Arabidopsis thaliana: one gene and its partners. The protein of the gene in region 3 interacts with the protein of the main gene of each other region in a pairwise test. Each region holds a gene or a part of one and is shown on either strand. Other genes may lie near its edges. The genes, in order: AT1G68680, AT4G30240 and YUC5.

Region 1 (4,159 bases), on a different chromosome or scaffold from region 3:
AGCCAACAAGGGTGGTGTATATGCTCCGGTTGCGGTGGCGCAATCTCCAAAACGTTCGTTGGAGAGAAGTTGCAACTCGCCGGCGGCATCTTCCTCTACAAATACAAATACTTCTACTCCTGTGTCATAATCTGATAGTCATACTATAATCATCTCCTGATGTTGATTTTGGTGTAGGTTTGAAAATGTTTATGTGAATGTAAGAAATATTTTCGTCCGTTTTTGTTTGTAACCAAGAAATGTTATTTCCTCGGTTGGAAATTTTGAATAAAGTAGACGAATGCTACTATGTAGTATATACACGAGATAAGTGAAGACTCTTTGTTTTTCTAACTTTGGATATTTACTAAAATATCTTCTTGTTTTTGGTGTCTAATTTAGACAGATCTTCGTGATGAATCTGATGGCAAAGGTTATAATTCATCACCTTCGTAAATAGTAAAATACAAAGGTAGATAAGAGAATCTAAGATGAATTGAGAATAACGTGCGTGAATGGTGATGTAGATATTTGGTGTGACAATTAGAAGTGATTTATTTATGGTAACGCTTGCTTAAAACAAAGGTCCATGAATCGACCAACTAACCATTCACAGAATTGAATACCAAATCTATCTTTTTGCATGGCAATTTATTAAAATAAATCTAACGTGGCCGCCTCTGAATCTTGCTTAATAGAATAGTAACCACTAACCATAATCAAATCATTAATTTAGATTTTTTATTTTTTGTCGGCCAATTTAGATTATAGTATCTTTTTTTTTTTCCTTCACATATCTTACGGTAATTGACTCGAACCGGAATTTCTTTAGAAAATTCAAAACCAGTTTAATAATCGGGTTCATGGAGAATAAAAAGGTCATGTTCTGATTTTTATAATAAGTCCTTGTTGACTAAGTCCTTGTTGAATAAGTCTTCCTAGATTATAGGAAAGTGGACGATTAAATTTGTATTATGTTTTGATTTTATATGTTATAGAATTTCAGGTCGATAAAAATTGTGACATTTGCATTGTGTCTAGGGTCTTTCGGGTTTTTTTTTTTTTTTTTTTTAACTTGATTTGTAGGGAGGATAATCTTGGGTCTATACAAGCAAGACGAATTCTTACGTAATTTTGTTTCTTTGTTTTGAATAAAACTGGATAAATCGTGACTAGGGGCTGGAGATCAATAAATCGTGACTTCCCTCCAACTGATACGGATTCTACAACTATTTGAATTTTATAAGGAATTTCAATAACTTGTTCACTTTTTAAATATACAATAGTTTTGTACAACTAGTAAAAAATATTCATATTTCCATTATAATCATTTATCATTCCATTCTGCTTTTTTTTTTGGGTTCTCAATTCTGCCATTCCACCATGTTTCTTATCGGAATCTAAATAATTAATGCATTAAGTAGTTGAAGATGATAAATTTATTTGTTTCCAACCATTTTGATGGTTAACTTAAAAAACATAAAATTTTAGGTTTGGTGGAAAAAAGAAAGGGACACTTGGCCTTACGACAAAGCGAAGGGTCACATGTTAATACAACAATTTCAGGATATTCGAATCTCTAATATTGGAATCCCTAATACATGGCTCACTCTCTTTGATTCAAACATAAACTGCACTCGTTTATTTAATCTTTGTTTGACAGCTAAAAAGATTTTTATTTTCGGGTTGATAAACCTATAACTCCTCCAACGGACAAAATTTACTAGATAGATCTATAACTTTTCGTGGGCTATATATAACTTCTCGTGGGCTTCGAGGCCCAAAAATGTTTAAAAGTGTTGAAAACCAAGACAAAAAAAAATGGAGTGAAAAAGATGAAATCCCTAAATTGAATCGCAAATCGCAATTTGAAAAAAAAAAGATCTCTCTCTGAAGAATCCGTCATGGCGTCGTCAAGCGATCCTTCAAAACCAGTAATGGAGAGGAAGAAGAAAGGAGCTCCGATCAAATTCTTAGTACCTCTCATCTACGCACCTGCGCTTCCTTTGATTCGGTTGTCTTTAAGGCATAAGCCAGTTCTAAGAGATCGTCTCTTCGGTCTTGTCCTCGTCGGTGCTTTTGCTCATGGCTTCTATCTTGTGTATCCTCTTTATGATTGCTTTGGTGCTTTCTTATGTGATTTAGTGAAACTTGCATTTATGTATTGTATATGGAATATGCATGTTTGGGTTTTAGGGGAATTATTTTGATTTGCAGTGAAGATTTGTGTTTTGATATTGTAGATTGTTAGTATGTACAGAGAGCTAGGAAGTATTTGCTGTTGAAATTGCGCATAGAGTTAAAGGTATGTGTAAGGAAGTGAATCCTGACTAGTTTCGTCAGTCATGTTGAGGATTTGTTAGGCATAGTTAAGCATATGGACTTAAGGCAGTTAATCTTGACTTGTATCATCTAATCACTGGAAGTCATATATGGTTATGTGGTTTGACAATTTACATTTCTAGAATTGAGACTATAAACCATCTATGTATACCAAACTGAGGAGTTGAAGAAAGTTTGCTTGTAGTTGTTGATTCAGGTAGTTTAGATTTCTATAAAAGTCATGTGCGGTGTAGAGATTTACTCATGATGGTTTTGCAGTAAATTGTAATAGTTTGGTAGCTTAGAGAACCTCAAGATTACTGTTGGTAGTGAGAGCAAATATTCAACATTTCAGCGATTGTTGTTAAGAATAGTTTGAGCTGATGATGTTTCCTAATGTTGTTAAGCTTCGATTTGACATAAGTAGAGTCTACTACTATGTGGATTTGGAGAGTAGGAACATTCATTTGCTACTCTGTGGAATATTTTGATAATCTCTATGGAATGTGTTATTTTGTTTTGATTGTTCCTTATAGATAAATCACAGAACGGATATATATGATGCAGAGAGCAAATGAAAAACTGGGAGTTGCAGTCAGTCAACAAGATCTCAATATTTTCTCAGATTGTCTTTCAGATAAATAATTTTTGCCTTTTGGGTTTAAACCTATTTGACACATGAACTATGGATTTTTCCTTATGAACCCATTTAGTCATCTTGTAATGTATCATCTTTTTTACATTTTTCAATCTCGTTCTTGATTTTTCCATGTCTTGAATGTGAAAACTAGAGTGGAGAGCAAAATTAGTTTGCGTAATATGCATCGACATGAACACATGTTTATGATATGGGCAAGGATCATATATTTATTATACTGCTAATATATAATAAAATAGAGTCAATATAGCAACAGATTCTGGTAACATCTAAGTGGAGACAGCATTAGAGGTGGCAGGTTGTTTGCGAGTTACACCTCTTGTGCAATGATGATGGATCGAACAAGTGCGTTCTTTCATTATAAATTATATTTGTTTTTAACGTCAAGATCCTTACTTAGCTCTCACACCACATGTCCAAGTAAAAAGAACATTTAAATATTTTCCCTCTTCTTTAATTTTTTGACTTGTTCACAAGTAATGATGGAGTAATGGCACGTGGTGAGATAAGAGTGTGAGTGTGTAAATAAAAAACCAAAAAAAAAGTGGCATAGACAAGAAGTAGTTGGAATGTCTTGGGATCACGGATTAGTGAATGTTCTTTTGGGGGTTTAAGGTATTGACGGCGACACGTATTTCATGTTACTCTCCTCAAGTGTCTCTCCCTTTCACCGTAGGCCGTAGCATTTTCCTTTTCTTTGTGAAACTTTTTGCATTTATGATGGATATTTGGGACCGAAATCCATAGGAATACTAGTTTTTAAACAAGACACAAAAGAGAAAGAAAACAAAAAACTCAAAATACTAGCCAAAACAAAGGATAAACAAGACTTGGAAGAGAGTTAAAGAAAAACGATATTCTTTAGTGAACACCATTACTACGACTCAACCATCGGGTGAATCTCCGAAATTCCCACTTGAATTATGTGGCAAATCCTTCTATTCAAATTTTTATTATTTGTTGGTTAACCACGTGTTTTCTATTATCTAACACACTATCCAACCTGAAATATTATTCCTCATTTTTCTAACCAAAATATTTGACCGTTTCAACACTAACTTGGCTAATCTCATTTCTGTTTTCCAAATTGATTTGTAGTGTTCGTTTTCGTAAAGATTAGCGTAAAGACATCCGATGATGACATATGTGCTCTCATCACAATATTTAATGTACTCCCTTTTTATTATATAGTTTTGTCCT
Region 2 (4,426 bases), on a different chromosome or scaffold from region 3:
GGGCTATTGAACTTCACAGATGGGCTTTGGTCTTGTTGTGGGAGTGAGAAGATATTTGTGTTCACGACAAATCATATAGAGAAGTTAGATTCTGCTCTGATGAGAAGTGGGAGGATGGATATGCATGTTCACATGGGTTTTTGTAAGTTTCCGGCTTTGAAGATTCTGTTGAAGAATTATCTGAGGCTTGAGGAAGAAGATATGGATAGTGTTGTTTTGAAGGAGATGGAAGAATGTGTGGAGGAAGCAGAGATTACTCCGGCTGATGTTAGTGAAGTGTTGATTAGGAATAGGAGTGATGCGGAGAAGGCGGTGAGGGAGATTGTGAGTGTGTTGAAGGAGAGAGTTGTGAAGAGAAGGAAGAGTGTTGGATTGAAGAAGAAGAAACAGGAAGGTCAAGAAGAAGAAGAAGAAGCAGAGGAAGAACAAGAGAAGAGAGCTTTGGATAGTCCTAATAGAAGAAACAGAGAGGTTTGTGGGTTTCGAGAGGAGGAAGAAGAAGAAGATGAGAAGGAGAAGTGAATGATAAGAGACTGTTTATCCTAGGATCATCATCTAATGGTGGTTCTTGTGTGTTTTTAATTATCCGTTTTGTTTAGTCAAAATTATTATAATATATGATTAGTTACCATATAATATAACGTTATCCATTTTGGTTTACTCTTAAGTCAAAAGTAGGCACTGTCCAAAGTTAACCTTCTGAGATTTGCTACATGAGAGTTGAGACTAAACTGGCTTTTGTATCTACTAATGCTGCAGAAATTGCCACTTTGTTGTTGTATATGTTGTCTCAAATTTTCGTGTCGGTTACGTTTGTTTTGAAGAGATAAAAGAGAATTGGCGTTTGGACTTTGGGTGTTGTAAATTGGTTAGTGTCACACCCTTTTTTATACAGGTTATATGTGAAACCTGTAAATTTCAAAATTTATAGTTCAAGAAAACAATTTACTCGAGAAGTGACATTTAAAGAATCATCACATCAAACACTTGACTTCAAACTAGAAGTGACCTGAAAAATCCATCCGTTCTTTTTTTTTTTCTAAATATAATATTGACCGCTGATTTTTGACATATTGTAGTAGTGAAGCCCAATCCTACCCAAAGAGATTTGCATCAGAAAAAAGTTGTTTTATATTATGGGCCCAATCTTTTTGATCAAAAAAAATATATATATATATTATGGGCCCAATCTCTAGAATCTACCACCGGTTAATGTCTAAATAAGAACAAAAACAGGTCTTGGTAACTAATTAAAACTGAAAACACCAAAATCAAGGTTGGGATTTGTTGAAGAAGGTGGTATTTCACCATATCACAACAACTAATTAATTAAATTTATTTAACAAAACATGTCTCTCCAAAACTGAAAACACCAAAACATGTTTTCATTTTATGAATTTCAATTTAACTAGTTAAAATTTTGATATCACATGCGCTACACATGCCACCTCAATTTGTCCTGCTCCTACTGTCTATTACTAAACTAAAAGTTAAAATTAGCGTTGAGTTTTTATTGAATTTATTTACTCATTAGCATTTGACTTGTATAGAGAGTATTAAAATAAAGAATAATAATAATAATATAATGCGGTTGGCGAACAATTGATGTTGCGGCAAACCGGTAGGCCCAACAACAACACGGACATTCTTGATGTTTTTCTTTGACAAGCGGTAATCTCCTGCAGCTAAGACCATCTTACTTTAAATTATTTCCCAATTACAATAAAACACGTGTGAAATATGGTCAATTTAGTTCAGAGAGGCCTCTTTATTAAAATCTTCCATTAACGTTTAAAGTGAAGAAAGCAAAGAAATATCGAAGAATTTAAGGAATAAAAAATAAAAACAGAAAGCTGGAGGAAGAAAAAATAAAAATTCCTTCTTTCCTCCTGAAGGCAAAAAAGGAAGAGAAGAGAAGAGAAGAGAAGGAAGCAGAATCTAATTTTGGATTATAATCGGAGAGAGAATCTATTCCGACGAATCTTTTCGGGTTGATTTTTTGGTCTTTAATTTGAAGGGTTTAGGTGTGGTTTCGAAGATGATGGTAGCGAATAGTTTCGATCTATGGCAAAAGGATGTTTTTTTCTCTGCAGCTGAGGAGGTTCAAGAATCTGCTGATATGTATGTGTTTTTTGATTCTCTGTTTGTTTAATTGACTCATGTTGCTTGTGATGGTGGAATTCGGAATTTCAATTGAAAAATAGGGTATTTCGATTGTTTAGGGGACTAATTGGCTCTAGAATGGTCTAAGTGAGAACCTTTGTGTTTTGTGAAGGAATTGAGTTATCAAATTTGAAATTTTGTTTCTTATTTGTGTTGTATTTCCAGAATGGAATCTGCGTATAGGTTGTGGTTTAAAGAGAAGAGAGACGGTCGAGTATCCGTAGAATCAGACGAGCTCTGCAAAGAACTCCAAGCTGCTTTGAGCACTGCTAAATGGCAGGTATGAAACAATCAATGGTCCTTTGATCATTCCCTTTTTTTTTCATGGTTACTCATGAGTGTGTTAGTGATATTGGTTATATTGTTGTGACTTGAATCAGTTGGAAGAGTTTGAGAGGGCAGTGAGCTTAAGCCATGGAAATTGTCGAGATGACACTACCTTAACTAGGCATAAACAGTTTGTTACCGCTATTGAAAACCAGATTTATCAAGTGGAATCTACTCTGCTAGAGTCGTTAAGCGAGAATGGGAAACAACCTTTGCGTTGGGTGGATCTTAACAAAGAAGAGCGTGATGATCTCGCCATGTTTCTATCTGGATCTTCTCAGACGTCAGAGAGTTTAAACAGTGATAGCATCAACTTGAGAGATTCCTCAACGAGTTCTGTAGCTGAGAATCCACGTGGGATCAATGGCAGAAGAGAGGGTAGATGTTATGGCGACAGTCCTGATTGTGTGATAGACATTGACGACATAGGAAGTCCGGAAAGTGCAGATAAAAAAGGCGGTACAAGAAGAACATGGAGTTCACCAAATGTACCAAATATCAGTGCGTTGAGGATTAATGTCCCTGTTAATGCAAAAGAAGAAGAGAGGGAGAAGTTCCTATCACATATTGAAGACACTCCTAAAGAGAAAGGAGCTAAACCTATGTTTTGGCTGCAGAGATGTCGTGATTATAACCAGGTAAGCTTCTGCAGTTTGGATCATCTCTACACTATTAGAAAGGATCATAAGTCTTAGTTGTTTATCATTTTGCAGCTCTTTGACAGAGTCAAGGTTTATCAAAGACGATTTCGCGTTCCATTGAGCCGCCCTATTAAGCTCATTCTTTCCTTAACGCTAATCTTGATTCTTCTATGTGAGTCCTTCTCTTGGTTCTCATGAGTTATGTCACACCACTGTTCCATGACAGTCTCTACTCTCTATAACTGAATCAAATTCCTTGTTTATACCCTTGCAGTATTCATCTTGAGAACTTAAAACCGCGGTTTCAGAAACTCTCAAGAAACATTGACAGGTAAATGATATTTTAGATTCTAAATCAGAACTCCAAGTTTTCTAAAACAATCTTTAAACATTACATCCTTTTCGTGTATCTTGCAGGTTTTTTCACAGATTCTTGCGTATTGGGTTACACACTCGTTAGATGCTACATGATTCAACATCCTTCGAGGGAAGGAGGAGAGATTAAAAGACTTTGTCAAGATTCAAATGAAGGACAAAGCCTGATTTATTACTCTCTCTTAATCCTCAGGGAACATATAGGAACCTGTAAATTTGTAAGATCAATTTGTAAAACTTGAAGCTACGACGTTTCGTTAAACTTTAGACGTGTACCTAAAGGAAACCAATGCGTGTTTGTGCTCAATGATATCTCCAGTGTTTGTTTGTCTCTCAGATATTTGTTTTGGAACAAAACATTCTTTGTCCTCTTTCACTTACTTGGCAAGTCATTTGTTCCAATCATTGTCTTACTTTCTTTTAAAATGCGCATTATAGTTGACGTCTCAATTTCTTTCATCACTAATAGTGTCACAGCCCAAAAGTACCAATTTAGGTCAATTCTAAGCTAAGTAAAAAATCTTAATATTAGGTCGTATCATATAGACATATGATAATGGTGAAAAAGATTTATGAAGAAAGAAAAATGTCTAATAATTTTCGAATCTAGAAGTCTCTGGACAAAAGAAAGGTGCATGTCACAGTCTCTCAAGATGGAATTTGATCATACCATTTATCAACCATGAACTTCGAAGCACAGATAAATGCTAAAAAATGATACAACTTCCTGTCTAAATCATTAAAAATCGACTAGTCCCATTGGGAAAAGTAAGGTAATAAATTTTTCTCATATCCTTCTCGTGCTTCTTTTGATCATCATTCATTCCTCACCTAACCAATTCAATTTCAAAAACAATTTTATTAAAATATATATTGAAATATTCTAAATGAGCTGAAATACAAAATAACGAAAAAATCAA
Region 3 (4,086 bases):
TCTAAAACTGAAATATGTTAATCTTTTTCTTCTGTCTCTCTCTTTTTCTAATAGTAAAGGTTTTGTTACTACTAAACCGAGGATTTGTGAAAACTGAGGGATTCAATAGTGTTATAGGGTCTACTTATATAGCCTTTTATGTTTCCTTTTTTTTCTTGATAAAGTATGTTTCCTTTTATTTTGTTAAAAGGATAATGTAAGTTTTCTATTTTTTCTGATGGAATTATCTTATCATTTGCAGGAATTGTAAAAACAAAAATCGAAATCTCTTTTTTTTTTGTCAACTACATAAACAAAACGAAATCTTACTAATATAATTTGGTTAAGAATTTCATTACAACGTTGAATTTCATTACAACGTTGATTAAAAAGGCTTACATAGTTTAGCTTTTTAAGTGGGCCAAATATTTGGGCCTTTGAGATCTCGTCAAGTTTGATTAAGGTCTCAGAATTTCTTTCTATATTCACTTAATATTCATGTTACGACTTACATGTCGTATTTTACCCCAAAAAATACTTATTTTGCAGGAAAAAAACTCAAATAAAGGAAATTTAATTTGATTAGTCGAAGATGTTAAAAAGAAAAGGACATTTAATTATGAGTATGAATCTTTTATTATTACATAGATTTTTTAAAAAAGTGAAAAACAGAAGAGAAAATAATAATGAAGAGAAATGCCACGTCATCCTAAGTTATACAAAACGCCCAATCAGCCTTCAAAAACAACACCGTTGGGTCTTCAGGAGAGGGCTCTCTTTGTATCTTTATACTTTGTTTACAAAAAAAAATGAAATAATGAATAAACACTCTTTGGTAAAATAAAATAAATAATGGTATGAGCCCTAACTTGAGCCCTAAGCAACTGAAATGCATCTGCGGTGACCCACTCGTGTTCTCATTTTCTGTCGTTTGGTTTCTTCTCTCCACACGTTTCCAATATCTTGAGCGATGTTAACGGCGTCTGCTGATGCTCCAGCCAATCCTTTCCTTGTGAATCCAGCCGCGTAAAGTCCCGATTTCCCTTTCCACGCGTTTGGAAACGGCGATTTCGGGAACCCGTTTTTCGAAAACAGATCATTTTCTTGGAGCCATGATGGGACGTTGCTACGGTAACCCGTGGCCAGAACCACCGCATCGAGATCTAATCTCTGACCGTCTACTAGCTCCACGTGACTACGAGAGAACCGTTTAATTCCCGGGACGATTTCTACTTCACCGGATTTGATTTTCTCCATAGCTCCGATGTCTAGAACTGGAGTCTTACCTGAAACAATCTTGAGCTCCATTGGGCCCATCGTGGGCCTCTTTAGGCCATACTTTGTCAAATTTCCTAAAATCAGCCATGCAAGAATCAGTAGAATCTTGTCTACTAGCCACAGAGGAAACCACTTCATCAACATCATGGAGATTTCAAAACTAGATTTGCCTAAAATCTCTCTTGGTAACACATGAACCGAGCTACGAACAACCATGGATGCATTAGCATTGTGATTTGCGAGATCAAGAGAGACTTCCATGCCGGAGTTTCCACATCCGACGACAAGAACACTCTTTCCTCTGTATTTCTCGCCGGATTTGTACTCACACGAGTGGATCACCTCGCCTTCAAACTCCGTTGTGAGCCCATCGATCTCTGGAACAACTTTCTCCGCGTTTTCTCCCGTCGCCACCACTAACCACCGGCAGATATATTCCATCTCCGACCCCGAGGAAGAGGAAGATGTTGTCTTGATGCGCCAGAGACCACTTGTCTCGTCGTATCGAGCAGACTGGACACACTCGTTGAACTGAGGAGTAATTTCGAATTTGTTTGCGTAGGACTCAAGGTACTCGATGAACTGTCGTTTTGTTGGATATTCCGGGTAGTCTTCCGGGAAGGGCATTTTGGGTAATTGACAAACTTTCTTTGGTAAATGAAGTTTGATTCTATCGTAAGTTCGTTTTTGCCATAGTGAAGCTATGCAATCTGCTCTCTCCAATACCACAAAGGGAACACCTTCCTCGCGGAGGCAGGCTGCCGTGGCTAGCCCCGATGGCCCGGCTCCGACGATTACAGGACCGTTAACCCAAATGCACCGTCTTCTGTCGGAGGAATCTTCACTTCCCATGAGCCTAAACATGTTCTCCATCTTTAGGGGTGAGTTTGATCGAATCAAGATTACAAGTAGTGAAAATGGAATAGTTTAGGTATCTTTAGAAGATGATTTTGATCGAATCAAAAGAATAGGTAGTGAAATTGAATAAGCTTTTTTTTTGTTTGTTTGTTGATAGAGGAATGAGATGCTTTGGAATGTGTTTGGAGGAAGAAGTAATGGTGGATGTGTTTATATAGTGGACGAAGTAAGAGGAACTTGCATGTGATCTTGTGATTAGCGCGTTCTAAGGCTAATTTTTAATCAATTTAATAAATGCAAAAGTTCTTCAATAAGTGTGTGTAATAATTTATTTAGGTTTCCCATTTAATCATATGCTTTAGCTAAAAATGCGAAATAGTTTAAGTTATTTTAAAGCTTTTTTCCTTATGGAATCATTCGATTCTTTTCTTCCAAAGTCTCTGATGGGACTTTGATTAGAGTCCGTTTTAATAGTATTAATTAGTTGGTGATGATTATAATATAATTGCTTTATGGTATATATTGAGATTGTACTTACTGATTAAATAGCTTTGAATATTACAAAGATATAGTTTCAAAATTTAAAGATGTGAAAGGGTAATCAACTGGGCACAATGGACCAATCATAATGATATTCATATCATCCAAATTCTTCTGATCATATGGTCCAAATGATAATGATATGTACATCATCCAAATTCACCCATGAGCTTGTAGAGATGGCTTTTGGAGAATATAACTGGATTGGGAAAACTACTTGTCATATAGATATATAGACATATTTTTACAAGTGTTAATAGTAGGGAACAAAAAATAAAATCAATAGAAATACAAGTACTATGGTGTTCTTTTGGTGGATACTTTGACGTTATCATTATAGCATAAAACAAAAACTGGCACTCTCGTAGGATAAACAGAAAATCAGATGAAATTTTAGTAGGTATGTTATAAACTAGATCAAAAGCCAATTTTAGGCTTAATTATTATTTTTTGAGCTATTTAGAGTAAACCTATAATTATAAATTTGTTTACAATTTTTTTTTTGTTAACTTTAAATTCAAATTAACCAAGTTTATGTTGTATTCTAGAGTTTATCTCGTTCAAGTTCACCATTTAGGGGTTTGATAATCTAGGTGATGCATTTACATGTTTTGGTCCATCGATAATTGGTTTGGAGTAAGAATGGTTGCGTCGGTGATGAAAATATTTGCATAAGCATTTAACGTATGTAATATTTTTCTCGCATGGTATTAATTAAGTTTTAGTAGATTTTCATGTATATTTAGTAGATGATTGGCATGCAGTACCTATATGTGCGTGGTTGTAAATCGTTACACATCAAACATTAATCAAGCATTCAAGCCTTTAAGAACTGTAAAAGAATTCGTCGATTTATTTGTCTGAAACGGATCTGATCGTGATTGATAAACTATTTTCCGGTCTAACTCGTTATTCGTTTTCTATTAATTGTGATCTCTTCATTTGTCTTTTGGAGACAAGATTATCTCCTTTTGAAACCGAATGAACAACATTTTCAAAATGTTCCTAAACGAGTAGCTTCATTAGTTAACATTTTCGGATAAAATTACTCGGTAGGTAAGTTTTGTTCAGTTTGATAATCTCGTGGCAATGTGTGCTGACAAGTATGCAACCACGTGGATAGGATGGTGAGCCCAGAGTGGGGGCTCAATTTTGGCCCACTTCAACTCGTCTGCCGACTGCTGACTGCTTAACCAGTAACTACGTCAAATCAATTTGCAATTTTGCTAATAATACAGTTTTTTTGTTTAGGTCCATTTATTGTAAGTTTGTTTATTATCGTCTTTTAATAGGATTTTTTTGTCCTTTATGGTGTTATTCGCTTTATATTACTTTCGACGAATGTTCCATTACAAAGCGCTTTTTATAATATGAACTCTAAATGGAAAAGTTGTTATTTATATTACAATTTTTCTAATTTGTGAAGTTAGT

What was found.
Region 1: the proteins of YUC5 (region 3) and AT1G68680 interact in a protein complementation assay, tested with the Arabidopsis thaliana proteins (one large-scale study listed by BioGRID).
Region 2: the proteins of YUC5 (region 3) and AT4G30240 interact in a protein complementation assay, tested with the Arabidopsis thaliana proteins (one large-scale study listed by BioGRID).

Annotation. Positions count from the first base shown.
Region 1 is NC_003070.9:25,783,744-25,787,902, forward strand, and holds AT1G68680 (SH3/FCH domain protein), read left to right. Parts: upstream 1-1,762; 5' UTR 1,763-1,883; coding exon 1,884-2,080; intron 2,081-2,848; coding exon 2,849-2,879; 3' UTR 2,880-3,599; downstream 3,600-4,159. Other genes in the region: AT1G68670 (myb-like transcription factor family protein), read left to right, coding at 1-130.
Region 2 is NC_003075.7:14,807,358-14,811,783, reverse strand, and holds AT4G30240 (Syntaxin/t-SNARE family protein), read left to right. Parts: upstream 1-1,708; 5' UTR 1,709-2,038; coding exon 2,039-2,121; intron 2,122-2,328; coding exon 2,329-2,443; intron 2,444-2,543; coding exon 2,544-3,128; intron 3,129-3,203; coding exon 3,204-3,303; intron 3,304-3,405; coding exon 3,406-3,425; 3' UTR 3,426-3,462; intron 3,463-3,548; 3' UTR 3,549-3,895; downstream 3,896-4,426. Other genes in the region: AT4G30250 (P-loop containing nucleoside triphosphate hydrolases superfamily protein), read left to right, coding at 1-522.
Region 3 is NC_003076.8:17,648,002-17,652,087, forward strand, and holds YUC5 (Flavin-binding monooxygenase family protein), read right to left. Parts: upstream 2,375-4,086; 5' UTR 2,131-2,374; coding exon 856-2,130; 3' UTR 575-855; downstream 1-574.